Diceros bicornis minor: one gene and its partners. The protein of the gene in region 1 interacts with the protein of each later gene in a biochemical or structural test. Links are inferred from orthologs where the notes say so. Each region holds a gene or a part of one and is shown on either strand. Other genes may lie near its edges. The genes, in order: CASP3, PTGES3, GSN and PANX1.

Region 1 (6,854 bases):
GAAGTAATGGAAGACAGAAAGACCCTGTCCCTGTGTGGGACTCACAACCACGCTCACCGGCATTCAAAAGTAGCTCAGCAAGGCAGATGCCAGACAGTGTGCACTACACATCAGATAACTTTATCTTACTCTGCCCTAATTCAGAAGCCCTATAAGCAATCTGAAGGCAAGAACAAATAAGCAGAGAAATAACAATATTACACAGAGATTTAGAAAGCACTGTCACAGACACTATCTCATTTTATCCTCACAACCCTGTGAAGTATGTATATCACTTATGCCTATTTACGGATGAGCTGGTAAGTGTCGTCCTTGGGACCTGGCCTTAGGTCATCTGACAAGAGTACCTATTCCCCTCCATTACATTTGTATTTGTTAAATATCTACAAAACAGTTATCTAACAGTCTAAGAATTCCCACATCTTTTTTTAGGCCCAAACACCAGTGCTTCCCATCTTTGAGGCAGAGCTTGAAGAAGTATCTAATACTAGGCACCAGAATCAATTTAATACCATTCATAAAAATAAAGACTGCTTTCTAGCATTACAAGGGGGATGCGGCAGTAGATTGTGTTATACCAGGTTTGAAAGCAAAACAGTAAAGAAGCATTGCAATCGCCCATATCAGTAAGACGTGAGTCTCTTAAAACCGCAGGAGGCAAGGCTTTTTCAGGATAGCAAAAAGAAATCCGATTTAATTAGGCACAATGTTTCATTTCTTTTTTACCGTCAACAGGTTTTACTGCCACACTGCAAAAAACTGTCCGTTCATTAAAGCACATTCTAACTTTCAAAAGCCTTCTTTTGCAAAAGAGCAAAGCAAAACCAAAGCTCAAATATCAGGTTGCGATAGGGATGATTTAAGCTTTATATTTCATTCTTAGAGATTATGTAACTACAACACATTCAAAGTGGCCGAGCACGTTTTGATACAGGTTGGTCTAAACCACCTTGCTAAGCAGCTCCTATTACTATCTTGTATACTCACATCGTTACAACCACTCCATATTTCACCTCTACCATTCCTTCCTAATCCAATCTTTTAATTATATTTTGCTAAGTAATCCTAAAACACGTTTATTTTTTCTAGATAGGGCATAATTATTAAAAAGCATAAGACTGTAGTATAGGCGTTCACTTGTGCAGGCCCTGGACATGGGGAAGGGCAGTAAAGAACAAGACAAACACAGTTCCTCACGGAATTTGCTTACAAGCTAGTAGGAAAGATAGGAAACAAGCAACTGCAAAGGATATGACGTTTTCCTCTATGAAAATCCCGATGCGAAAGGAACACATAATAGGAAGACTTAACCTTGAAGTGTTGAATGAGAACAGAAACTAAGTAGGAGTTCCTCAAGCAGATGTGATGCAACCAGAGTGGGAATGCAGGAATGTTCCAGGCAGAGAACAGGTATTAAGATCAGCCTGGCTGTGTAGAAAGTGAAACAGGCTATAATGAAATATAAGGCAAGTGAGGAGACCAAGGAGCCAACCTGTGCTTGGCTATGTTACCATGCTAAGGGACTGGGTTTTTCCTATGGGCAAAGAAACAGTTTTCTAGATTTTTATTTTGTAAAGATCCCTCAGCCTGTGCTGTAAAGAATGGAGTGGAGAGGGGCAGAGGGTCTGGAAGTATGGAGGCCAGTGAGGAGGCTGCTGTAGCCAGGTAAGAGCCTAGGGTGACTTAAATCAGAGATGGAGCGCAGTGGACAGATCTAGCGGACATTTAGGAGGTCGAGGAGGCTTTGGTGGCTAACTGGGGAAGGACCGGGGACAGGTAGCTGAGAAGGTTGGTTCTTGGTTTTTTGGTTTGGGTTCCACTTACTGAGAATGGGAGAGAGGCAGCTGCTTGGGAAATAAGGCTTGAGAGAGAACAAGGGTGACAAGTGTGAGAAAGGCACTCGCATTCAACATGGCCTGAGTGAATTTCAAAGCAGCTCCTAGGTGGATTTGGCCATGGACACACAATCACATGGCCGAGCTGGACGGACTCACGGAGACCTTCAGGTCTCAAAAGGAATTAGAGTTTAACGCCTGAAATTGCTTCTCCCGAAAACTGAGTTACATAGTCAACCCGGGAAAATCTAGGCCCGAGACAGAGAAGGCCGCAGAGAGCACACCCTCGTCCAACAACGGGAGGTTCAGCCCCGAGGGCCAGCGCCACTGGGACGGCACCGGGCCCGCCTCCTGCCCTCGGGGCATCGTTCCTCCGCGCCGACCATCCGCTACTCCCGTCCCGGCCGCCCTCACTTCTCTGGCATCCCGCTGCCTGCCGCTCCCGGGCCCGACCTCCCACTACCCGGCCTCGGCGCCCCCCTCCCCCGCGCCCCGCTCCCGGGCCCGGGCCCGACCTCCCACTACCCGGCCTCGGCGCCCCCCTCCCCCGCGCCCCGCTCCCGGGCCCGGGCCCGACCTCCCACTACCCGGCCTCGGCGCCCCGGCCTGGCCTCTCGGTTTTCGGTGCGCCTCCCGTCCCGCGGGCTGGGCATCTCCAGTCGGGTCTCCCCTCCGCGGCCTCCACATCCCGGGCCCGGGCTCCCGCCCCCCACGCGCCCCCCGGCCTCGAGGCCCCCAGCCTGGCCTCTCGATCTTCGGTCCGGTGTCCCGTCCCCCAGGCTCGGCATCTCCAGCCTGGTCTCCGCTGTCGGCCTCCACACCCCCAGCCCGGCCCCCCGACCCGCGGCCGGGCCTCCACACCCCGGGCCAGGTTTCTCGCTCCGCGGGCTCCAGCGCTCCTCCCCGCGCCCGTCGTCGTGGCCAAACAAAGGACCCGCCGCCCGGAGCGTGCCCGTCTCCTCCGTCTCCCCGGAGCAGCTGCAGGCCCCAAGGGACCCCGGGGCGCGCGCCGGGCTGGAGGCGATGCAGGCAGCGGGCAGGGCCGACGGCGCGGCGTCGGGAAGACTCGAGGGCGGCACTCACCGCACAGCCTCCACGCAGCGCTCAACCGTCCACTCCGCTCTGCGCCCCGCCAGCTCGGCTTCTGCGGCCCGCCGCCCCCAGCCCGCCGAGCTGAGCTCCGAGCACGGCCCGCCCCCCGCTGGCCCCACCCCCGGGCCCCGCGCTCCCCTCCGCGCCGACACGTCCCTCCCGCCCCGGCCCGCCCCGCCCCCGCCGCCGCGAACGCCCCTCCCTCAGCGGCCCCGGGCGCTCTGGCCCGCCTTCCCGTCCCGGCCCGCTTCGACCTCGCGCTCCGGCCCCGCCCTGCGTGCCCGAGAACGCCGCTCCCTCAGAGTCCCGGCGCGCTCCCCGCTGCCCCGCCCGCCTGCCGGAGAACACCGCCCCCTGCCGCGTGGAAGCCGCGCCCTCATAGGCCCGGCGCGCTCTGGCTCCGCCCCCGCCCCGAGAACACCGCCCCCTGCCGCGTGGAAGCCGCGCCCTCATAGGCCCGGCGCGCTCTGGCTCCGCCCCCGCGCCAGGCTTGAAGTCGCGATCGCGCCACGGCGCGGGGTTCTGGACGTGAACGGAGGGAGACCTCAAAGCCGCGGCAGCCCCGAGGGGCGGAGAGAAGGGAGTCAAGGTTGGACGTCTGGGAGGAAGGGGAGCAGGCCGACCCGCACTGGTAATCTCTTCCCCTCGGGTGACCTGAGGCCTTTCCTTAGGTCACCCCCCCCCAATTCGTCCTTAAAGCCTTAACTGCCTACTGGTTCCCGCCTATTTTGGGTCACGAACGCCTTTCAGACCCTGATGCAAACTCTCAGTCGTTTTCGCAGAAGACTACACCAACACGATTGAGCACGAAATTCTGCATCAGATTTCTAGAGCTTCATGACATTCTGATAAGTCAGGGACCCCATGTTAAGAACACTTCTGCCTATTCGGATATAAATCAGGGGCCGTATTTTGTACATGAACATACAGCGTTATATACGTGGCTACCATTTGTTGAGCGCTTATTCTGTGATGTTACGTGTGCGCAATACACTTTCTTATTTTATCCTTTCAACAACCCCGGGAGGTAGGAATTCCAGTTCCCATCAGGGCTTAAAAAGGTTAAGTAGTTTGTTCTCGCTAAAAGGAGAGTTACAGAAGTTAAACTGGGATCCCAGGAGTAAAACTTAGCCCTTTCTTTATCCCTCCCAAGTTGAGAGAAGACAAAAGTGTGGCAGTCCTTTTTCTGCTGCAATAAAACTGAGGAGGACCCACTCCCACCCCTAAGTGGTTCAGCATGCAGCTATTCGTAAGGGAGGCACCAGTATAGTTGAACAAGTCCTCTTACGCCCCTGTGATGCCCAAGCCTCTTCCTGTGCTAAACTTTCTTACCAAAATGATGCTTCAGTTAAGGCAGCAGCAGTTTTCTGCTTTCGTGTAATTATACTAGTTTACTTAGTCTAGAGAAACTTTAATTATAGTAAAACAGTTGGCTGGAGGAAATGTCTTCTGACCGAGTCCAGTAATTTGTTTTTACAGAGGTGTCTCAGAGGTGGCGGAACTTGATCCGGGCCTTGAAAGGGAAGAATTTGGAAAAGGGAAGTGAGGCATTCCAGGTGAGAGAAACATGCAAAGGGACTTTTGGAGTGGGCCAGATGCAGGAAATGGTTATTATCATTCATTTGGTGATTGCCATTTGGTGATTTTCATTCATTTGGTTCAGAAGGCTGAAAGATAAGAAATAAAATGGGTAAGTGGTTTAGGGCCAGATTCTGGAGAGAGTTTGGACCTCTTGATGTTAACTATAGTGTGAATTGAGTGATGCTCTGAATCATTAATGGGTGTCCCTATGAAAAGTTACGAAAATGGTTTTAAAAGTCATTAGTCTGGCAAAGTTAGGCTGTTTGGGTGGGAGAGCCTGTGGAGATGGTAGAAAGGGGTAACTGGAAAAGAACAATATATCACTGTATGTTTTCTTATCCCTTACAGGAGAATTTTGGGGGATTTAAATGAGTTACTTCTGTTCAAGCATAGAGCGGCAAAGTGACTGAAGTGGAAGAAAAAGAAAATTCAGTCAATTAGTATATTTCTTACAGTGTTACTTCATCTGAGAAGTAAACATATAATATTACTATTAATGAATTTTAATTACATACTTTATTATGAATACTTTAGCAGTATTCCAAGAGGCCACAAAAGGGATTATATTAAGAAAACATTGCCAGATACCAGAACATTACTAAATACTAGAACTAGAACATACCTGCAGAAAACACAAAATACTGATGAATCTATTCTGAGGACAGAGGAAGAGGTTGGAGTTAGGGAATAGGAATTGACTTGTGATTAGGCAAACAACGGGAAGAATGTAGGAGAAGTGGACTAGGGAGAATCATGGCAAGGCAGGCTTCAGATCTCCCTAGAAGCCAGTAATCATGAAGCACGCGCCCCCTATCCAGCTGCTCCTGGGAACCAGGGCATCAAGTGTCCTAGCTGGGCAAGTCTAGGCATAAACCCAGGGAAACCAGGGCCATTACATAGGATGGCCACCTGAGTCATCTCTCCACCTCCATCCCCTCTTCCCCTTTTCTCACTATGCTACAGTTACTCCCAAAGGACTAAGCCAGCCTTTTTTCTAGCCTGACCACGTTTAGTTGTAAAATTGGTATCCAACATGGTTAAATCAACATTCTGGTGCAACGTTAAGAAACAGTGCTCTTAAGTCTACTATTTTAAAATACAACAAATATTTTTCTTTGGAACTTGGAAACTGTTACCAAAAATAGTTATGGTCCCTGTGTGAAAAGGGGTTTTGATGTACAATTCTATAAAAGAAAGACAGCACTCTTTCCCCACCAGGAATTAAAAGCATTTCTAAAATGGTGACGTTCTCTCAGAGGATAGGAATAAGGAATATGATAGTCCAAAACCGGAATGCCAGATGCCTTCCTGTTCTCTGTTTCCTTTGCTTTTGTCATTCACCCTCCTGCTCAAATAGTCCAAGCCCCAGTTGTCTTCTAACCCTCAACCCAGCTGTTAAAATTTTCAAACTGTGCAAAGAACATGAGGGTGTGGGGGAAGAGGGAGAAGCCCCCTCTGCCCTTTCCCTTAAGGTTCTTATGGCTGGCCAAATAATTAACAAGATAGGTTAGCAGGAGAAAATAATACCAAGTTTAATAACATGTATACGTGGGAGAAAGCAGGGACACTGCATTTCTCAACACAATAGCAGAAATTCTCGTCTTAAATACCATCTTCAGCTAAAGACAAAGGAGGATGCTGGGGGTGGGGAGTCAGTTAGTGGAGATTACCACTAAAGCACTGTAAACAAGAGTAAGGTTATTATGCAGATTTAAGGCCTCACCTTCCACATTGATGAGTTTCTAGAAATGAAGTCATCTCACCTCTTCCCAATACAGAAAGGGAGATACCTTTACAAATGGAGATTTCCCTTATAAATGTAAATGTTTGTCTGGCAACTCCTCTCAGGGCCATCCAGAGAATGTGCCTAGAGAGACAGAACTTCTGATAAGATGGGCTTGTTGGTGCCTTTCCTATTGTAACATCTATTTTACATTATATTACAGATCTTCTATGTCAAATTCTTTAGGCAGTTAGTGGGGGAGGTCAAATGTCCATCAGAGAAAACAATCAAGGTAAAGAGATATGTTTCAGGGTAGCCAAATCTTGATCTCCCACAAGGGCATAACATATATTGTACTTCTCTTTTTTGTTTCTGTTGACATTCATGGCTTTCTCAGTCCAGTAAGTGTCAAACTGATTTTCCACTCTGACTCCTTGATTTTCATGTATGACACACTTCCATTGTCATACCAACATTTTTACAAAATTAAAATTTTCCTGGTATCAGTGTCGATAAGTATGAACGTCCACATGGTTATTCCTAGTCAGTTATTGGGTAGATACTAGAGCTATAAGTCACATCTGATTGTAGTCTGTTTATTTTCTTCATTAAGTACTCAGTGG
Region 2 (7,861 bases), on another chromosome or scaffold:
TTACAGACAAATTTCATAGCCTCAGGGCTCCGTTACCATATGTCAAGAAGTGGCACAGGTTTTAACAGAAACAGTAGTTTAGATAATAAATAAAAATGAACTACAGAGACATGATTCTTTATTTGGAAATTAAAGGACCACCTGAGGGGCCGGCCCTGTGGCGCAGCGGTTAAGTGCACGCTCCGCTGTGGCGGCCCGGGGTTCGCCGGTTCGGATCCCTGGCGCGCACCTACACACAGCTTGTTAAACCATGCTGTGGCAGCGTCCCATATAAAGTGGAGGAAGATGGGCACGGATGTTAGTCCAGGACCAGTCTTCCTCAGCAAAAAGAGGAGGATTGGCATCGGATGTTAGCTCAGGGCTGATCTTCCTCACACACACACACACACACACACACACACACACAAAAGGACCACCTGAAAATTATTCTCCCTTTTTGTTAAGTAGAAAAAAATAAGCCTTCTGTCAGAAATCCTGGGTTCCAATTCTATTTGAGACAGCCCTTTATACTAATTGGTGCTATGTGAATTGATATTTGAATAACTAGATCCTAGAATCTAATAAAATTAAAAATTTTAAACACCTGTCTGTAACTTAGATCCTTTCAGTACACAACGATAATTAAACATGCTAAGGTGGAAAGGGCCCCGACATAAACTTTCCGGCAATAAAGTATAGCTACATGTGAAGATCAACTATTGCACAGAAAATCCACAACAGCACATTTTATTTGGCTGTGGGATACAACATGAAATTGAGTATACTGCTCAAGGTAGGGTTTCAAGTAATTGGCATCTTCCTGGAAAAATCAAAAGTTCAAAGGTGTCCTGGGGAAGTCAGCCTCAATTTAAAATCTATCACTGCCAATCTATACAGTAAATTACAAAAAGTTTACTACAACACACTTTGTATTTTTGTAGCAAACTACACTAGATGCAACAATTCTCAATTTAAGAACTCAGATAAAATAGGATCTTAAGCGTTTAAGAGCTAGATTGATTCTAAAACAGTTGATATTACAAAGGTATTTTTTTCTGAAAAGCTACAATCACAAGCCACTTAAGACCCCAAAATGATATAGCTTCTAGATTTCAAAACTGAGAAAATACAATTAAACAGAAGAATCTTAATTAACAATACATACTGGTCTGCACTCAGGTGATTTGTCACTTCCAGTTTCTACTGCCTTCTAGTTAAAGTCTAACTAAACATAGAAAAAAAGAAAATCCAGTTGCCAGATTACAGTCGTTAGGAAGTCAACACTGAACAAAGACCATGATCAGTTACTTTTCCTTAGCTTTTAGAAATTAACCATATACCCCATGCTCACTATTACAATTTGTTCTGGAAACAAAACATTGATGATTTTACTTTCGGGTCCCAATCCTACAAAGCTGAGTGATGGCAAAGTAAATAAGATTTTAATCAACGTTAGAAATAGTCATGGTATAGTTCTGGACAATTTATTAGTTTAAGTACAGGACACCAAAAAGAATGACTTCAAATAGCTCAAAACTAAATAAAACATTTTACTTTATACCCACTGTCAATGGGTCCAACTTAAAACCAACTACAATCGCTAATTTAAAAAAAAGCAAATGAGCACCCCCTGCAGGGGGTTTGCGCAGGTCTTAAATGGGGGAGGGAGGTCCTAAAATTCCAGCCTTCTCCAAGGTAGGTGAGAGATTGAGAGCTTTCATGTATGCTACTATACAAAACTTTAAAAACGTGATTAAAAGAAATTTACCCAGGAAATCACTACTACAGAGCATTCAAAAAAAAAAAAACAAAAAAAAAACCAGACCCTAAAACCCTTAAGATTTCCAGCATAAATGTCTATTTCCACAACTAGAAAAATGTTTATAGCAGACATCAACAAAATGAACCCTTATCAGTGGATTCTTCCTGGGACTGGATGACCCATTAAAAGTTTTTCCCAATTCAAATAACTCATAATATTCATCTTGTAAATTCATTCATTTTATTAGTTCAATAAGATATCCTAAACAATTTGCAAAATTGCATATATTGACTATTTTAAAGAGGATGAGATTTATCTGATCTCTTCAAAACACTCATTTTGAAAGTAGCATTCTTTACGTAGAGACAGTGCTTTTTGGAATATTGTTACACTTTTCATCTTTTAATCTATTTAGTTAAGGTTTCCTATCTAACTATTTTATGTGACCTCCCTAGAGTTTTTCTATTTCAAACCGTATTAAACATGGTATTTCTTAACGAAAAGATATTTTGTTTGGCTACATTAGTCTATTAAAAGTTGGTAACGCTTTATCTGAGAATTCATCTTCTTCTCATAGATACTTTAAGACCGACAATCCTGCTACATTATTTGGAATAGAGATTTCAAAGGGAAAAGCAAAAGCTATTTTACATAAATTAAAATCTTCTATTAGATATCACCTATGGGGGAAAAAAATCCTTCCAAAATTCTAATAAATTCCCTTTACAGTAACACATGCTTTCCTCCCGAGGCTTGTTCCCCGTCGTCAACTGGCTATAGTGTATCCTTTACCATTTAAATGTCTAATCCAACATACTCACCGTTAATGTCATTAATTACATAAACCCTTGAAAGTGCATTACTTTTTATAGGAATAAAAACTGCTCCCCTTCAATTGCTCTCCATACGTAACCTTTAGAGAGCAGTTAGTCCCAAAAACTATAAAACCGGCAGTTCACACACCTGAAAACGTAAAAGCTTTTCCTGAGAAGAATGTAAGACCTGGAAGTGGCAGTGCCAAGAATTCTTAGTCGGTTAAAATCACCGAGGTTTTCCTTTACCATAATAAAAACTAAAGATCGCTAAAAAATGTGTGGTCACCTCCACAAAAACAAATTTAAGCTCTTCAAGACAACAAGGAGGCAATCACATACCTATTTCAACCTTAAATTAGGATAGGATAATGAAACCTCGCCTGTTAACAAAGAACACAGAAAATGTCCACAAGTATCTCTGGACTCGACACGTGCACAACTACCTGCTCATGGTAGCTCCTGGCTGCCAGGGACAAAGCTGCGTTTTGGTAACCTTCAGCCCCTTAAAGGGACTAGAGTTATGGGGAGGCCTGGAAAGACCCACGCTCAAGAAATCCCGACACCCGAGAGGGAAGTAAGTGGTGGCGCCGGCGCGGCCTCCTCCAGTTGCCTAGCAGTGCCTGTCGCTTCTCGGCGGAGGCCGCATGGGGCCCTCCGAGGAGCACCCCCAGCTTCTGGGAGCACCCACCACAGGTGCACTGGCCCACGGCCTGGTCCCAGACAACAGCGCGGCCGAACCGCACGGCCCAGGATGCCAAGCGGCAATCCACGAGGGCCCCCACCTCCAGGGCGCCCACATGGCCCAAAGCTCGCGGGAGACGAAGGCCAGAGACTAGTTAGGGACAGTTACGGACAACGCGGACTGCCCAAAGGGGAAAGCGAACATCTGGAGGAAAATGTCCTCCACCCGCCACGATACCCGGAACAGGGTCCTGGACCTCCAACCCCGGGGAGGAACGACTGCCACCACTGAGGGGAGAGAGCCGAAGGGGCCAAGAGCGGGGTAGGGGGAGGCGGCTTCCCGACAGCCCCCAGCACGGCCTCGGCCTCCCTCCGGGGCGACCTTCCCTCGGAGGGGTGGCGCACTCACATCGCGAACGGGGCAGGGGGACGGGCGCACGGATGGGCGGGCCTCTCCGGCGGCAGCTGGTGGGCAGTCGGCTCCTCTCCGGTGGCGACTCCGGCGTTTTCTCCTCGTCGCGGCCTCTTCTCGCTTCCCTCAGGCGACGGCGGCGGCGGGCTCGACCCGGGTCCCCAGAATGCACCGCGCGGAGAGAGCGGCTCCTCCGGTCGGGGAGAAGAGGAAACTGTAGGAAAAGGGGCGCGAGGACGGAGAATGAACGTGCGTGCGTGCGAGCGAGGGGTGGTGAGGCCGGGCGGCGGCTGGTGACGCAGCAAAATGCCCGGGCCCTACCGCCGCGCGTGCGCACTCTTTGTTTTTGGTTTCCTGCGCGGCTTTCTAGAGATATCTACGGAAAGGGCGGGGCCTCCCAGCTCCTTCGCGATCCTTCCCGGCGTTGGCCCCGCCTTACGTCCGCTCTCTCCCGCCCGACTCGTTCCCGCCTCTGCTCCTGCGCTCCCCCCTCGCGTCGGAAAACCGTTGGCCGCACCGCTATGGGGCCACGCGCCGGGGGCCGTCTCCGGGGGAGGCGAGCTGAGGCGGAGAGACGCAGAGTCGGGAGGCTTGAAAAGTGAAAGGGAGGACTGGTTAGTCTTGAGGAAGTAAACCAGCCCACCGAGGAAACATTCCACCGCCAAAAGATGCGAAAAGCGGTGCTGGTGATAGTTGCGGAAAGGGCTGACTTCAGAATCCAGGGCCTAGTCCACCTCGCCGTTTCTCTGAGGGTTGGAGACCGTGTCCAGGGGCAGCGGAAATTTGAGGTCTTTGGCTGAGGAGGAATGTTTGCCATTTGGGGCGGGCATTTCCCCCTGCTTTGAGGTATTAGTGCTGTAGGTGAGACAGGAAGGTCATGTGAATGGAGAGGCTAGGACACTCGGTGTCTCCAGCTACATCAGTTGGGGAGAGAGTCCCCCATCTGTTTCAACCTTTGTCTCTTGAACTGGTGCTTTGTGCAAGGCACTGGGTTAGGCTCTAATGGGAGATAGTAACCAAGAGAATCCAAACAGTACCTGCCTACTCTAGAAGGCCACTAAACAGTGGAGTAAGGGAGAAACACCAGTGCACCGCCCGTTAGAACCCAAAGGAGGTGTAAGGAAAGTGCCCTGAGACATTTTGGAAAGAGTGGAGGCTGCATATTCGGCATTAAGGACTTAAGTATCTGTGCGGGGCAAGGCAGGTATTGAGAACTGCAACCCTGGGCCCTATGCTCAAATCCCGTGAAAAAGGAAGGTTAAATCTCAGCTCTTAAATACTGTGATTCTAAGGAGCCTACTGCCTGTTGGGGAAAATAAAATTCGCAAATGCAGATAACTGAGTGCTATAATGGAAGTACAAAAAGTGATGGGAGCATAAAAGGAGGAGAGGTCCACATTGACTGGAAGGATTAGGATAGGCCTTGTTAAAAGTTACCCAAAACATGGAAATAAGGCAAGGCCTGGAGGGATGGCCTTGCAGTTCATACTGGGACGTGTTTTAACTTGCCTGTCTAAGCATTATTCTCTGGGAGAAGGTACCTGTGTTTGGCTTTGCTATTTATTAAATGATTAGAGCTCAAACATTGTAAGTTACTTGTAACGCTGTAGATTTCTGATTGATAGAAAAGCTAACCCCAAAGTTACAGTTTTATTGCTGTGTAGGACAGTATTTTTGTTTAACCTTCAACCTTATTGTAATTTTTATTTTTGTGGCTCTAAATACTTAGCTCCTTAAATACGCCTGCAACCAGTTTTACCGTCTTACTGGTTCCGTCAGTGAGTTCAATAAATGTTTGGCTCGTGTTAATTTTATATTTGTGGGAGAATCATGTTTGTAAATTTTTTGAAAATTCTTTGACAGCCTCATAGAGGTGACAGCAGGAATGAGTGGGAATAGTACATTCCAGGCAGGACTCTAGATAGGTGAAGAGAGAGAAATAGAAGTATAGGGGCAGGCCCCGTGGCGTGGCTGTTAAGTGCACACGCTGGCGCCCTGGGTTCAGGTCCCAGGCGAGCACTGACGCACTGCTTGTAAGGCCATGCTGTGGCAGCGTCCCACATAAAGTGGAGGAAGATCGGCAGGGATGTTAGCTCAGGGCCAGTCTTCCTCAGCAAACAAAGAGGAGGATTGGCATGGATGTTAGCTCAGGGCTGATCTTCCTCACACACAGAAAAAAAAGAAAGAAAGAAATAGAAGTACATCTAGATCAGGCATTGGCAAACTTTCTGTGCAGGGTCAGATAAGGCCATAAGGTCTCTATTGCAACTTCTGAACTCTGCTGTTGCAGCATGAAATCAACCATAGAAAATATGTAAAAAATGAGAGTGGCTGTGTTAAAAAAAAAAAACACTAAGAATGCTGAAACTTGAATTTCTTATGTTTACATGTCACACGATATTCTTTTCCAACCCTTTAAAAATGTAAAAATCATTTTTACCTGGAAGGCCATACAAAAACTGGCAGCCTGCTGGGTTTGGTCTGCAGGCTGTAGTTTGCCAACCCCTGGCCTAGGTAGTCCAGAGTATAGAGGAATGATTCAAAATAAGGTTTAGATGGTAGGTCACAACCAAGTAATGGTGGCATTGAATACCAGGCTAATTGTTTTCAACTTATTTCTCTGACAGTGGGAAGCTGTTGAAGTTTTTTGAAGGGCAGTAACACTTGTGTTCTAGAAAGATTAATTTGGTAACAATGTATAAGGTGAACTAGAAATGGAGGAACTGAATTGAAGATAGCGTTTAGAAGACTGCAACTCCAAATAACTGGCAGTTTCCCTTATCTAAATAAGTGCTGTGGGAAAAACTGCCTTCCACACAAGAAATTTTTGAAAATTCAAATCCGTTGCATCCTACTTCATAGTTTATTTACTTCCCCCGTCAGACGTATTTCAAGGGATTTCATGTTAGTGTAGCTCTGGAAATGGCTTCTCACTCAGACGTTTCACAAATAGTTTGTAATCAGGTTTATCCATCCCTTTACATGTTATCTCAACCATTAGCTGGTGGGGACCCAAGTTGTACCAGGTTCCTTTTTCGAATTCACTAACAAGTTCTCTTTCTAGATTCAAACATGTATAGTTACAGTGTTAGGGCTTTTGGGAGAGAAATCTGCAACCCAAATTGGCATAAACTAGAAAATACCTGGCAAGTAGTAGATGCCCATTTCACAAGTTTAATACTAACAGTAGTAAAAAGAATGCAGAAACAATTTGTCGGTTATAATTGTAGCATCAACCTTCCGATATTTTCTGAGGACTGAATTTAAATATGTGTCCATAGTCACTAACAGCAAAACAGAACTTTATAGATTTACATGTGCAATTAAAAATATTTTTTTAAATAATAACAGATGAGAACAGACTGGTTTTATGAGAGGATTTTCTAATAAGATAAAGAACTTACAGGTTGTTAATTTTGTATTTGTAAGGCAAATAAAGGGAAAGGGGGTAAAGTAGTAATCTGTTCTAGGTGTAGGGAATAAGAAATTGGTCATAAAGTTTAAGGGAAACATCATGACCTAGCTAAATGTAAACATCATGTATAGCAACTTAAATTACTTCATGTTATCTGATGCCATTATTGTCCCACAATTTGAAAGCATACCCTATCAGTCTCGTTTGGCAGTAATAGAGCTAAAAACAACTGTGCCTTGTATTTACCTTTTTCATATTCTGAGTTTTGCTACCAGTCTCTCACTGTGGGCCAACAACAGCATGAACAGCTCTAGGTTAAGGAAGAGGCTTTATTTTTTTTAATTTTTTAATAATTTTTAAAATTTAGTTATTTTTCCCCCAAAGCCCTATAGATAGATACAACTATAGATAGTTGTATGTCATAGCTGCACATCCTTGTAGTTGCTGTATGTGGGACGCGGCCGGAGAAGCGGTGCGTCGGTGCGCGCCCGGGATCCGAACCCGGGCCACCAGTTGCGGAGCGCACGCAGTTAACCACTAAGGCACAGGGCCGGCTCGGAAGAGGCTTTAAAAAGCTAATTTATGTTTTTTAATGAAATACATTGAAATCTTCTAAAAATGGTCTTCTACCCCAAACATCACCTCATATATACCTGGAGTTCATATTATGGAAAATAAGACTATAAAAAGAGTGATATATGTTTATTTCTATGTAAATTAGCAATATTCTCTAGCATCAGAAGAAATCAGGTAATAAAGTTTTATTTTAGTTTCATGGTCTTCATGAATGAGAATGT
Region 3 (6,927 bases), on another chromosome or scaffold:
ATAAACCTCAGCCAATCTGTATAACGGGGGAGCTGGGGAGCTGGACTCCACGGTCTCCAAGAGTCCTCCAGCTCTGACTCATCCCCCACACTCACTCTCAGCCTGGGAGCACAGGCTCTATTCACAGATTAGGAAACTGAGGCACAGTGAGGGGGCATGACTTACAGAGTCACACAGCAGACCCGTGGCAAGGATTCCAGGCTCCTGACTCTGAATGGGAAACTGGGGTGTGTCTGGAGCTGGGTCAGGGAAGCTATGGGGGAGTCTAGGGTCCCCAAGTCACCTCCAGTTCTGAGGGCCATAGTAATGGGCTTAACCTTCACGACACTCCTGTGAGGGAGGTGGCGCTATCACCATGTCCACTTCACAGAGGCACTGAGTGACTTGCCAAAGGGCAGAGCTGGGTCTGAACTCGGGCAGGCTGGCTCTAGAGTCTGGGGACACGTAACCGCTAGCCAACGGCCTGGCGCGTACTTGATGCTCAATAGTCAGCGCCCATGGGTGCTTCCTGGGAACCACGCCTCAGAGGTCCGTGCTTTCCGGGGGAGGGCGCTGGGCGGGGCGGCTCACCCAGCCAGTAGTGCAGGTCGTACTGCAGGTTCCCATTCCTCAGCTGCACCGTCTTCAGGATGACATAGGCGTCGCCTGTGAAGAAGTCTCCGTAAAGGTTGGGGGGCACGGGCACCAGGTCGAACTTCTCCACACGCCAGATCTGCAGGCCGGGCTCCTTCCCTGCCTTGAGGAACTCGGGGTGTTCCACCACCATGCTGCTGGGCTGGAAGAGACAGGGCAGAGCCTGAGCGGGGCAGGAGCCTTGGCGGAGAGACCCCGGGGCACGAGGGAGGGGGGTTTCCAGCACCAAGAGCATCTCACTTGAGCCTCTGACTCTCCCCACCCCCTAGGTGAGTCTCCCCACTTCTATGACCCCTGTCTCCATGAGTGAGCAAACAGGGCAGAGTGTAGGCTAAAACCCTGTCCCCAGCCAGCGTCTGTCTCTCCTACTCAGCTCCCGGTGATGGAGGGACAGAGAGCTCTACCTCCCTTCTCCTTTCCCTTCTTAGTACCAATTGGATAGTACAGCTATGGCACAGAGAGCTGAAGTGACTCTGCCAAGGACCCCTGCTAGGAAACGGCATAGGAGGAATTGCCCCAGGCTCTAAGAGCCTGAGATCTGGGACCATAGGGAGACCCCCTCAGATGGAAATGGTAAGTTGGGGTCCCCAAGGGCTCAGCGTATTCCCTTCCAGCATCCTCAGTGGCTCTTAGAACTAGAAGGGTCCTCAGAAATCTCATTATCCAAACCCATTCTGCAGATAGGGAAATTGAGGCCCAGAGAGGGGAGGAAACTAACCCAAGGTCACACAGCTTGTTTGCTTTTGTTCTTGGAAGTGGGACGATATCTCATGCCCCATCCATGTCCCCATCACACCCCCCAGAAGGGCCTAGATGACTAAGCCCAAGTGGCCTCCTGCGCTGTCTGCCTCCTCCCTCCTGCCCCCCAACACCCCACCCCCAAATTCCATTTCTTGGAAAAGGCGGAGAGGACACAGCCAGGGTCTGCAGGAGCCTGTTGGAGATGAGGTGGCCAAGGATGGGGAAAGGCCTTCAGACATGCACTCGGGCTAGAGGGCTAGAGACGGAGCAGAGTGGGATGGTTAGCCTGGAGCCAGAGGGCAGAAATCAGCAGGCGCAGGTCACCTCGGGCCGGAGGACAAATCTGGTGGGAGAAGTCAGAGAAACCAGATGGGAAGAAGAATTCAGGCAGAGGGTGGAGAAAACAAAAGGGAAGCAGGAGAGAGGAGGAGAAACCAGACAGGGCAGAGGAGATATTGTTACCGCACAAAATTGAGGTTCTCTTGCCCAATGTGCATTAAAAAACCCAATTAATTATGGCAACAGCTTTTGGGGGAGAAATCAGCTTTATTCTGCAAGATCGATCTGCAGGGAGATGAGGAGTGTGCCCTCGGATCTGTATGTCCCATTCAGGATTTGGGGTTACATTTAAGAGGTTACGGAGAACAGGCTGGCAGGTGGAAACGATAGCAGGATAGGTTTTGATTGGTGGGCTTCAAGCCTTTATGACAGGGTTCTAAACATTTATGATGAGGTGGGGAAGGAATTTTAACACCAGATCTTCCTGAATGAGGGACCCCCGGCTTCTGATAAGAGGCCCACTTTTTAATCCTAGTCATGTCCCGGTCCTTGGGTTCTGGAGGAGCATCTTTGGTTCTGTGGTTATTTCAGGTCACAATTTCTTCTTCTGCACATGCTCTGGCTACCAGACTTTGCAAATTTTCTGAAAGGCAATTACTCTGTTGATAAGATAACTAATCACTCTGTTGACACGAGAGGGGGTCAGTTGAACCGGTCCTGGAGGGCAGGCGGTTACAATATCAGAGAGGGGAGAGTCAATAATAGTTGTGAAGATAAGCAGGCAGAGGGGAGATCATAAAAGAAAGAGGCAGAAAATATTGGAGACTGAGAGAGAAATCAGATGAGAAAGGAATCTGAAATGGAAGAAGAGATCAGAAGAGGGAAGGAGAGACATCAGGCAGAGGGAAGGAGAAATGAGACAAGGAAAAGGAGAAATCAGGCGGCAGGGATGGGTAAGAAATCAGAGGCAGCGACGAGGGAAAAGAAATCCGGCCAAGGTAAGGTTAGCCTCCAGGGAGGGAAACAGCCAGGGCCCCGAGGCTCCCACCCCCATCCACGGGAGCCCCGGAAGCAGCAAGAGATACTTACAAAGCAACAAAACAGTTTTTCCATTCTAGACCTGAATTACTCCCCTTTTCCTAGTGCTGTATCTGCAAGAACTTACAATAGAGAGTTACTCCGGGAGCCCCCGGGCCCCCCGGGCACTCACCCGCGTCGGGGACGCCCGTCCCTGGGGCGCCCGTGCCTGGGCCGCCCTCCGCGACGCGGTGGCCGCGCGGGCCGGCGGCGACAGCGCGCACAGCGCCAGGACCAGCGCGCCGAGCAGCGCGGGCGCGGAGCGGTGCGGAGCCATGGCGGCGACGGCGGCAGAAGACCCGGTCGGCACCCCCTGCCTCCGGGTCGCCGGCCTTAAGTAGCCGCCCGACCATCCCGCCCAAGCTGGGGACCGCCCCGCAGGGAGGGCGTGGGACAGGGCTGGGCCCCCGCGGGCCTCGGAGGGGCGGGGATCTGGCTTGGATTTTGGAGACATCGGGGTTCCCACCCGGGCCGACCCGACTGGGCGCGCCCACTCCTTCACTCCAGCTCTGGGGCGGAGACCAAGCACACGGCCTGGCATACAGCAGGCCCTAACTCAGTGCACACTAAATGGGCGCACGCACGAAAGGCGGGGGGCCCAACTCAGCCTCCTGTGTGACCCACGCAAGTCCCCTCCCCTCTCCGCACTAACACCTCCAGCAAAAAATAACAGGAATTAACATTTATTGAAGACTTGAACACATCATATGAAAGCTGACACATCCTAACATCCTTTACAGAGTACTATGGACAGCCCCATTTTACAGAGGGGAAAACTGAGTGCAGAATGATCAAGCAAGGTGCACACAACAAGGAAATGGTACAGCCAAGATTTGAACCCAGGGGGTCTGAGTGGAACGCCCACCTAGGTAGCATGCGGCTGCCAGCCACTAGGGCAGCAGTGCAAGGGGCTTCCCTTCACTGGGCCGGTCAACAAGAGAGACTCAGAGAGGGGCGGGCAGACCTCTCAACTTCCATCATTGCCCTCAAGACTGCCCTTCTTTCCTTCTTTTTAAAAAACTTTTATTTTTATCAAAACTTAAAGTCACGGATTTGTACAAAGGTGTTCTTTCTCAACCCCACTCACGTCTCCCCAGGGGCAGGCACATCCATCTTCCTCCTTTAGCTGATGATTCCAGGGTTTACCTTCATGTCTTAAATAACAAGCCCTCCTTTGCTTCTTGTAGTTGTTGTTTTGGGGTTTTTTTTTTTTTTTTTCCAGTTTTACATCTTATCTATTGGCTCCCCTTGGAGAAGGCAAGGATTTAAGTCTCTTCCCCCACTCCCAGGCTCCTTTCCCATCACTGGGTTAGGAGAAGTGCTATTCAAACTCACCTAGGTCCACTTCCCACCTCCACCAACCCGTCTCTCCTCCCTCCCACCACTCTGCTGGACCCAACTTCTTTATTTCCAGGTTCTCTTTGCATCTCGGATCTCCCCCTCCCCAACAACTGGTGCAACGACAGGAAAGAGAACCAGGGAGTTGGAGGCCTGGGTTTGATTCCCGCCTCCACTGTGTGTAAGTTACTTTCTTTTTCTATGCCTCAGTCTTCTCATATACTAAATGGGTATATAGTTGCTGAGGATTAAATCAGTCTGCGTGTGTGAAAATGGCCTGGCCTGCAACTAGGTAAATGGAAGATCCCGTCCCCCTTCCCCACAAGCTATAGTTACCTGTCCCAGCTCTTCCTGGAGCCCAGCTTCTATCTAATCAGGGTGAAATTTGCCCTCCACCAATGCAACTTCCTCCCACTTAAGGGGGATTGTGGGTCAGATAAAGGGCTAAGGGAACACAGAGAGGAGACTCTGTCCCTTGAAGGACAGGGAGGAAGAAGACTGAGAAGAAAAGGCATTCTGGGGGGCAGGGGGGCGAGGGAACGGCATGGGCAAAGGGCAAGCAAAAGCAGTGAATAATGAGAGGTCCAGTCTGAAACACAGGCAGCGAGAGGCGATGAGGCTGGAGAGGGTGGCAGGAGTCACAGGAGCCCGTGCACCACCCTGAAGAGTCTGAACTTTATCCCAGCGTCTGTGGGGAGCCACATAGAGATGCCCAAGTTCTCAGTGCTATAAGTCTAGGCCTGGGCCTGCAGAGCCTGCAGTGGGCCGGCTCTGGCCTAAATTCAGAGGGCTCTTGCCTCTCCCTAGGCATGTGGAGGATTATAAAAACCCCACAGTTCTCATGTGCTCTTGATGGAAGCATAAACCGGTTTCACCTCTCCGGATGGCAATTTGACTATCCAAATTTGAAACACACAATGCAGCAACAGTTCCGCGTCCTTCAGTATTACTTACAGAGGAACACAAAAATAATATGTGCAAGGATGTTCACTGAAGCACTGTTTGAAGAAAACTGGAAAGGACTCAATTGTCCTGATTAAATAAATCATGGAGCTGCCGTACAATGGACCACTCTGCAGCTGTGAAAAAGGAATGGGCTAGATTTACTGTGCCGGGCACATAGTAGGCACTCCACGAGCATGGAGAGATCCCCAAGTGCAAAAAGCAAATTCTACAACGACTACAGTGTGGCTCCTCTCCTCTCGTTTATAAGAGTGTCTGTTTTTGCATAGATCCTTAAAGAGTCCAGCAGGGTAAATGACAAACTGTCAAGGCGGTTTGCTTGAAAGGGGTGAAGGGGGAGACATTCACTCTTAAACATTGCCGTGGCTGCCTGAGGCTGGAGTTAAGCGCCCAGATTACTGCAGTCTGCACAAGGGAACATTTTAGGGGATGAAAACATTCTAACACTAGATTATGGTGATGATTACACAGCTGAAAAATCTACTGAAAATCACAGTACTGTATGTTTACAATGGGTGAATTGTTATGGTATGTAAATTATACCTCAATATACTTGCATAACAATTTTAAAAACTTGCTGTAGGGTTTGAAACTATTTACATGTATGTATCCAACGTAGTTGTTATTTATTTATTTTTTTAGTTAATCCCTGATCTAGGAATAATACCCTTAAAAAATACACTTAAAGTGATGCCTGCTCATTAGACAAATGGGAAAATCCAAACAAGTCAGAAGAAAATTTCCGTGTCATCCCAACCCCCCAGAGTGAACCTCAGTCGGCAGCTGGCCCAGCCTGGCAGTCCCTCCTGGAGCAGTGTGGCCCTGACCACACAGTTGGTGATTAACAGAGGGTTGTGTGGTTTGGCCTTGGCCTCAGGGGTCATGGACCACCAGCCCTGGGTCAGTGGCCCCCAGGTTAATGATCACAAAGGCCCTACTGCTTTGCCGGCCACTAGTTCTGGAGCCTGGTCCTCGGCACTGGAGAGCTGGTGAACACGCCCTGCCCCTGTCCTGGGGGAGCCCACAGCCCGGAAACTCTCGCTATAGTGCAGTGATATGCGGAGACTGCAATGGGGGCAACATGGTCTTATGCTGCTCCCTGCCTGGAAGAGAATGTATGAGTTCGGGACAGCAGGGGACTTGGGTGCAAAAGAAAGACCCCTAGGTAGAAAGGAAGAGGCCCCAGTGCTAGGCCTGCCTCTGCCACTGACTTCCTGGGTGACTGTCCCTGTCCGGGCCTCAGAGTCTCCATACGCGAAAGACGGGGTAGGCCCCAATGCTCTGATTTGAGGTCTCATTCCTAGCCCCAGCATCCCCAGATACTGGCTGTGCAACCATATCCAGGACCTACATGTGTCTGAACCTCAGGGTTCCCATCTGTAAAATAGGGGCACTGGACCAGGTCACCTCTACAGGTCCTTCTGAATCAGACAGTCCAGAGCCCCTGACTTGCAGAAGGAGGCACCGCCATCACCAATGGCAGCATGCCACCCCGCTTCTGGATCCAGACATCTCTGGGAGAAGGGAGGGAAGAAAGAGGGATCTAATACTGAGTCTCCTCACAGCAACCAGGGGAAATAAGCACTAAAGTTCCCATTTTACAGACAGGGAAACTGAGACTCAGGGAGTTTCAGTCACTTGCTGAGGTTGGAAATAGGCATTGCTGAGATTCAAACACAAGTCTGGCTGGCTCCAGTCCCCAAGCTCTGTCTGGAGAGATCAAGCAGGGTCTCCTGACACCATCCAACCTGGCCGGGGAGCAACAGTGCCCTTTCCGGATGAAGGGTTGCAGTTGCTAAGCCTGTCAAGCCCCAGTGAAGCGTGGCAGCCAGGAGTCTCTGGGGCGGCCATCCCTACCACACCTCCCAGGCCGGGGCAGGAGGCTGCACCAGGGAA
Region 4 (7,013 bases), on another chromosome or scaffold:
CGGCATCAAGCCCCAAATAGCCCTAAGCCTGGGGAACTGAAGACCCTATCAAAAGACCCCAAGAACATGAATCCCATTCAGAGTTTGGTGTGTTGAAAGGTACACACTTAAGGAATTCATTTCTTCAATAGTTTAGATAAATACTCCTCGAATTTCAGAGCTTAAAGGCTATGCAGTCCATTTATGCCTGTATTCTACACAGAGTTGTCACCCAGCTATTTCCCAAATCTCTCTGTCTCAGAGTCAAACATGCTGCACCTCTAGAGGCATCTGGGGACAGGTGTGTTAGAAATGGGGGTCCTTCCGTGGCACAGAACTCTTGTCTCCCTGCAGTTTCCACACTGGTGACACTCGTGTGGTCTCTGAGCTACACGGAATGACACTCATCTGTCTTCCACAGAAGAGCCCTTCAACATTGCGAACACAGATTCCTCCTCACCAGAAAAATACCACAAAAGGGCATTTAAGGCACTTACAATAAAACCTAAGCTTATAAGTCAAGTGGGACAACTTCGCCCCTCCCATGATGACCTCCATCCATTAATGCTATGATCAGGGGCGGACGTCTGGGAGGGAGCCATGACTGGCCTCCCCAGGACAGCACTTGTGCTACTAAGTGACATGGGTACCACAGCAATTGAGACGTCTCCCTCCCCACACCAGGAACCACTTGCCTCTAACTGGTGAATTCCAGGCACTGGCTGGGACCTGGCAACTGTAACCTTTGGCCAGACCTCAGCAACCTTCTTCTGTGCTGCCCCTGCCCTGGAAGGCACCCCATCTCCCTCAGCTCAGCCATTCTCCAAGGGAGAACCCAGGAGAGTTCTTCAACGTGCTCTAGCATTTCCTTCACTACATTTTTATTGAGTGCTATTGAGCACAATGATTTTGGCAACTTCCTGCCAAGTTGAACAACTCGGTGCTGTAGATCACAAAATCAAACTCATTGTAACCCTTTTCTAACCAACACTTTCCTCAACTTCACTATTCCTATCAACACCACCACCATTTTCCACTCACCCAGGTCTGCAGCCTTTCCATCAGCTCTGATCAGTCTCTGCCCTTTACAGCTTATTAAAAACGAGGCACCCAAGTGCTGCTTACTGCTCCTTGCTCTCTCGGAAATCCCCCTACCCAACGTTTCCCTTCCACTCTTGGCCCCAACCACGCACAAGACCTCAACTGATGACCCATCTTACGGCATCCAGCCTACGTAGGTCCAACTCTCCACCTTCACAGACCCTACATGCTACCATCAGGCTATTTATGAAGTGCTGTTTTCAACCAGTCCACCCTATGCTCAAATAATAACTTCATACTTTTTAAACCATCAAGGCTGTACTCCTCTGTTCTAACTGACCCAGGCTCATATTCACTTTCATACCCCAGGAACCCTGACAACCCTCCTGCCTCAGTTAGTCACTGCCTCTCACCTTCCAGGAACATGTAACATTTCCTACCATCTCAAAATCTTGGCAAAAGGTCTCCCCTCTGCTTATCCAAATCTCACACACACTCCAAGGCTCAGTGCCAGCCCAACCTCTCAAATAAGCTTTCCCAAGGTCCAGCGCCACAGGTCTCTCCCTCTTTTCCCATACAGAACTGTTTCTAGCTGCCCTATACGGCCTTCCTGTTGACTCATAAATAGTCTCTCCTGTGCTGAAAGTCAGAAGAGCTGATGGGGAAGACCACACACTTACTGGCCACGTGATCCTGTCCAAACCACCAGACTGGAAATCTCACAGAACTGTTATTACTACCAATCAGAATATACATGACGGGAACTCCTTCATCACACATTCATAAGGCCATGCAAGTGGAGGATTTTGGTTTCCCTCCAATACCTGCCAAGTGCAGGTATTTTCTATCATTCACAACCCTGCAGAGCTAAAGTTTCAATAAATATCAATTAAAATAAGATAATGAAGAGAAAACACACTTTCCATGGAGCACTTGTCTTCACATCCTCTGTTCAGCCACTCAGGAACTTCTCTGGTACAAAATTTTAGGTGACTACACAAATGTGTGCAGGGGAAGAGAGGAGGCAGTTTTGTGCAAATCTGGTAGCAACGGCGCCGGTCACGAGTGGCACATGAACACTAAGCCACATTCGGGATCAGCGGGGCGCAGGGAACAGAAGAACTGAGGAGTAAGGATGCGAGCAGAGCCCACAGGGGTACAAATAAAGCACGTGGACAAAGAATGCTTCAGACCATAAAACCGGGGCTACCTTCCTTCCCAACGTTCACGCCCATCGCGCTGTCGGGGGGACTTCGGCGATACAGGCCGGCGCGCGGTAAAATCACTTCTCACCAGACCCCGGCACCTCTGTTAACGCGGCCCAGCAGGCGGGGTCCGCCCCGCCCCGCCCCGCCCTCCGGCTCCCGGGCCTTACCAATCGAGATTTCCTGCGCGAAGGCCAGCGAGATGAGCAGCAGGGGCAGCCCCACGGCGATGCACGTGACCATCTTGTCCACGGCCAGCTCCAGCCGAAGCCCCCTGAACTTGAGCTCCGAGGGCTCCTTCAGCAAGAAGTCTGAGAATACGTACTCGGTGGCCAGGTGGGCGATGGCCATGGCTGCGGCGCGCCAGGCGCGGCCAGGCAGGCCCACGAGGGCAGGCCCGGGTACCGCCGGCGTCAGGAGCGCTGCGCTGCGCCTTCACCCCGGCACTGGCCGGACCTGCGACTTTCGCTTTTCCTTTGCCAACTCCCCAGTTGCTTGCACACCCCACCAGTCTTTGTGTCTCGGTGGCCCGGCTCTCAGCGAGCCACAGAGCCAAATCTGCCTCCACGGGCGCCTGGGCGCACGAGCTCTCGCGCTCTCTCCTCCGCCGCCGAAGGGGCGCGGACTCGCCCCCGCAGGTCCCTGGGACGCGCGCGCCACCCGGGCTCGGCGCCTCTCCGGCGCGCCCGCAGGCGCGAGAACCAACCACCGCACAAAGCGCTTCCCTCTCGCCCCAGCCCCGCCGCTCTGCCCCAGCAGCCAAAGCTCCTTTGGGCAGGCCCGTGCGCTCTCAGCCCGCTCTGCTGCGCCCTTCCGGAACGATGAGGCAGACCTATTACCAAGGGGCGTGGAGTTTCCGGAAACCGCGGTGAGGCGGGGCGAGGTGGGCGCGGCAGCATCCCACAACCCTGGGATTCACCCCAGCAAAGGGATCTTCCCAGCGAGCGAGCGGTACCTCTGAAAATTCTCACGCCCCTTCCATCCTCATTCTCCCCACTTCCAGGCACTCGGGATTTTTGAAATCGACCCCTTTCTGAAAGTGGCCCCTTACCCTGTGGACAGGATGGCCCCCTTTTACGCCCCACCCTCAACATTTCTACATGGTGGAATCAGGTTAAAAAGAGCTGCAAACGCTTCAAAGAGCAACACGTGCCATAAAAGCCAGTGTAGACTGAGCCTGTGTGGAAGAGGGAGCGCTGGCCCCTTCCGAGAGCTCTGCGTGACAGGGAGGCTCTGCGGGGTCTGGGTGGTGAGCCCTGGCGTATGACTAGGTCTCAGACCTTAATTATCGCCGCTCGGTCCGCGCTACTGCTCCTGCTTTCCCAGTCGGAGCCTTGGTCGGGGAGCCAGCAGAGAGGTGTCCGCGGGTGAGTGGGTGTTGGGGGAGAGCTTCTTCTGAACCACTAGCAGGAAGTGGATGCTGAGAAATAGACAGGAGATGCTCTAATCAGGAACATTTGGAGCAGACAGGACCTTTAAACGTGAGGATTCCTTGGGACTGGACTGGGCTGCCTTCTCTTCTCTTTGTATGTGGACAGGTCCATACATGCAAGCCTCTTCTATATGTCCTCAACTCCCACAGGTACCTCTCTACCCTGGCCTCTCCTCTGAGCACTCATCCAAGGGCTACAGAACTCTTCACTTGGATAGCTCACAGGACTTCAGACTCATAATGGCCAGGCCTGCAATCCTCATCTTCCTCTCAGCCTGTACTCCTCTTCCCCATCTTGCTAATGCACTACCATCCACCCATAGGCCTGTTGAGGAGGGGGAACCTCTCCCTCTTGAGAGGAGCCTCCCTTATGGCTGGACTGATAATAAAATTGACACAAGACTGACTGACAGGAGGAAAAACAATACGTCCATTTGGGAGATCATAAAAATGATGCTCAGAGAGTGAAGGAGGCAAGCAGGTTATATATGTCTTTTTATGCAAAGAGGAGTTGACAGGGCAAAGAAACTTAGGTTCGGGGTATGTAATTAGTCATAATTAGTGAGGAATTGAGGTCATAAATTAGTAAATCTAACAAGGTTTGTTTATATAAGCTTCTTGGCCCTGAATTCCCTAGCTCTGGTGATAAGGATGTCTCTACCCCCTCCTATGGGGAGGGGGGATTTCATATGGGAGATTTATTTCCTGCTTTCAGGAGGAACAGAGAGAGGAGGATCAAAATTTTACCTGAAGTCAAAACGAGTAACCTTAATTCAAAATAATCAGTATGCCATTGTGGGATGTTTTGGGGCTGCCTGCCCTGGGCCCCAACGTGCCCAAACCAGAAACATGGAATGTCCTATTTAACGCTCCATCTCTCCCAGCTGCCATAATCAATTTCTAAATTCTTTTGCTTCTCTTTCCTAAATATAGAAAATCTGACAGTGTTTCTCCACCTGGACTGCCAACACTGATTCATCCTCTGTGCTAACCACATACAGGGATGGACCCCACAGGCCCACAAGCCATTCTCCCCCATAGCTGCCAGAGGGAGCTTTTTTTGGGGGGGAAGATCTGCCCTGAGCTAACATCTGCCAATCCTCCTCTTTTTTTTTGCTGAGGAAGACTTGCCCTGGGCTAACATCCATGCCCATCTTCCTCCACTTTATATGGGACGCTGCCACAGCATAGCTTGACAAGCGGTGCGTTGGTGCGCACCCGGGATCCGAATTGGAGAACCCGGGGCCTCTGCAGCGGAGCGCGCGCACTTAACCACTTGCGCCGCCTGGCCAGCCCCTCAGAGGGAGATTTTGAAAGCTCCAATCTGATCATGTCAGTCCTCTACTTCAAGTGTACATTGGTTTTAGGATAAAATTCAGATTTCTTAGCATGGCCACTGCCTGCCTCACCAGCTTCCTCTTCAGTTCTTCAAGTTAGCCAGGCCCCTTGCCTCCCCGAGGCCTTCTCTTACCCAAAGCACTCCCACCATAGCCTCTTATTCACCCTCCTGATCTCAGCTGGATGTCACTTCCTCAGGAAAGTCTTCTCTGATAGTACTAAACCAGAGTAGGTCGTTTTATTAAATATTCTTGTGATACTGGCACTACCAGTTACTAGCTGTGGGCCTTGGGAAAGTTACTTGACCCTCCTGTGCCTCAGTTTTCTCCTCTGTAAAGTGGTTATATCTCTTAGGATTGTGATAAGGATCAAATGAGTTAATATGTAAAGTGCCTGGCACTGATAAAGTGCCTGGCAACTGATAAGTACTGTGTAAATGTTATCTGGTATTGTTGTCCTCTATTTTTCCTTCTTAATGATAATCACAAATATAATTCAACCAGTATTTGTTTAACTGTTCATTTATTTAATGTTTGTCTCTCCCTTTATATGGTAAGCTTCATGAGGGCAGGTCCATATCCATGTATACCATTCCTATCTCCAACACTTAACACAAATGCCTGACACATAGTAGGTAGTTTAATTAATATTTATTAAATGTCTGAAGGAATCTGAAAATGTTTCACTGTGAAAATTGTTTAAAAACAACTAGCCCAACTTGCACTCATTTATCCATACATTCAAGGCATCTGTTACAGGCCAGTGGTGGACCAGTTCTGGGTTCAATGGATGGGGAAGCAAAGATGAAGTGGATACATTCCACTTGCAAAGACCTCATGGCTTAGAAAGAGAAATAAAGTATGTGCACAATTAACTATAATACAAGTTAGAAGGGGTAAGTAATATTGTGAAAGGTGGGTGTGCCAAGGGAGGTGCATAGAAAGAGTGGGGCCTGGGAGGATGAGTCGGTTTGTGGCAGGCTGAGCTGGGACAGGACTTTCTAGGAATGAATGAAAGCATGGTGCTGTGCCCCTTCTCTCCATGTCAAAATCTACAACAGGCTCAAAGGTCCCCTCTTCTGGAAGCCTTCCAGGATCGCCCCCATTGTGATGAAATCACTCTGTCCCTTAGCATTTCCTTCTTCTGGTCTAGCGTTTAGCTCATTTGCCTGGTGTGATGGTTGACTGCATGTCTGCTTTCTCATTAGATGTCAAGTTCCTCTGAGGATCTGGATGGAATTTCAGCAATTTCATAAATTGCCCTCAACCCTGGCAGAGTTTTCACCTTTAGCAGGAAGTCAGTCCACGTTTGTTGAATTTACAATACAGGCAAGAAAGAGAACTTGTCAGGAAATGGAAAGTAGGGACATCTGACACTGGTATGAGGAAGATGTAGGCGAGGGAGTCAAAGGTGAAAAGGTTGGGGCCAAAGAAGGTAATCTGGACTTTTTTTTCCAGAAGGCATTAGGGAGTTTTGGGGAAGAGTAATGGATTGTGCTTTAAAAAGATTAATCTTCCAGTCACATGTAGAGTGGATTGGAATGCAGAGGGAGGTGGAGAGGCCAGGTAAGAGGCTGTCAAAATTTTACACATGAGAGGTAATAAGAGACCAAACTGGTCTGCTGTCTTTGAAGATAAAGATGAATGGAACAGAAGAGAGCGGTAGTTAAGGGAGCCATTCTTCCCGCTGCAAAAATCAGATCAAATAATCTGACATGCATCAAGTTCTTTGGGCAGAAATAAGAAACCGAAAGCCTGGGTTCAACTCCTGGATTTGCCACTTACTTGCTGTGTGACCAAGGGTATGTGTCACTGGAAATGTCTAAGACTCAATTTCCTCATTTTCCTATAGGGATAATACTGCCTACCTCATTGGGTGTTCTGAGGATTACATGTGACATATATGTAACAGTGCCTGCCACATCATGGGCACTTAGCATTTGATAGCTGTCATTACCAACCTCAGGAGTTTAAGGTGTCATGTGAGAGTGTATGTAACATTGCTTTTATAAAAGATAG

What was found.
Region 2: of the proteins of CASP3 (region 1) and PTGES3, one has a biochemical effect on the other in vitro, tested with the Homo sapiens proteins (2 studies listed by BioGRID and IntAct). The link is inferred for Diceros bicornis minor from reciprocal best matches to the Homo sapiens genes CASP3 and PTGES3.
Region 3: of the proteins of CASP3 (region 1) and GSN, one has a biochemical effect on the other in vitro, tested with the Homo sapiens proteins (2 studies listed by BioGRID). The link is inferred for Diceros bicornis minor from reciprocal best matches to the Homo sapiens genes CASP3 and GSN.
Region 4: of the proteins of CASP3 (region 1) and PANX1, one has a biochemical effect on the other in vitro, tested with the Homo sapiens proteins (2 studies listed by IntAct). The link is inferred for Diceros bicornis minor from reciprocal best matches to the Homo sapiens genes CASP3 and PANX1.

The regions. Positions count from the first base shown.
Region 1 is NC_080768.1:16,324,829-16,331,682, forward strand, and holds the start of CASP3 (caspase-3), read right to left. Parts: upstream 3,011-6,854; 5' UTR 2,919-3,010; intron 1-2,918. UniProt on the Homo sapiens protein: Thiol protease that acts as a major effector caspase involved in the execution phase of apoptosis. Following cleavage and activation by initiator caspases (CASP8, CASP9 and/or CASP10), mediates execution of apoptosis by catalyzing cleavage of many proteins.
Region 2 is NC_080756.1:12,196,524-12,204,384, reverse strand, and holds the start of PTGES3 (prostaglandin E synthase 3), read right to left. Parts: upstream 3,023-7,861; 5' UTR 3,008-3,022; coding exon 3,000-3,007; intron 1-2,999. UniProt on the Homo sapiens protein: Cytosolic prostaglandin synthase that catalyzes the oxidoreduction of prostaglandin endoperoxide H2 (PGH2) to prostaglandin E2 (PGE2).
Region 3 is NC_080767.1:28,448,072-28,454,998, reverse strand, and holds the start of GSN (gelsolin), read right to left. Parts: upstream 3,023-6,927; 5' UTR 3,008-3,022; coding exon 2,864-3,007; intron 776-2,863; coding exon 571-775; intron 1-570. UniProt on the Homo sapiens protein: Calcium-regulated, actin-modulating protein that binds to the plus (or barbed) ends of actin monomers or filaments, preventing monomer exchange (end-blocking or capping).
Region 4 is NC_080746.1:39,654,564-39,661,576, forward strand, and holds the start of PANX1 (pannexin-1), read right to left. Parts: upstream 3,021-7,013; 5' UTR 2,577-3,020; coding exon 2,396-2,576; intron 1-2,395. UniProt on the Homo sapiens protein: Ion channel involved in a variety of physiological functions such as blood pressure regulation, apoptotic cell clearance and oogenesis.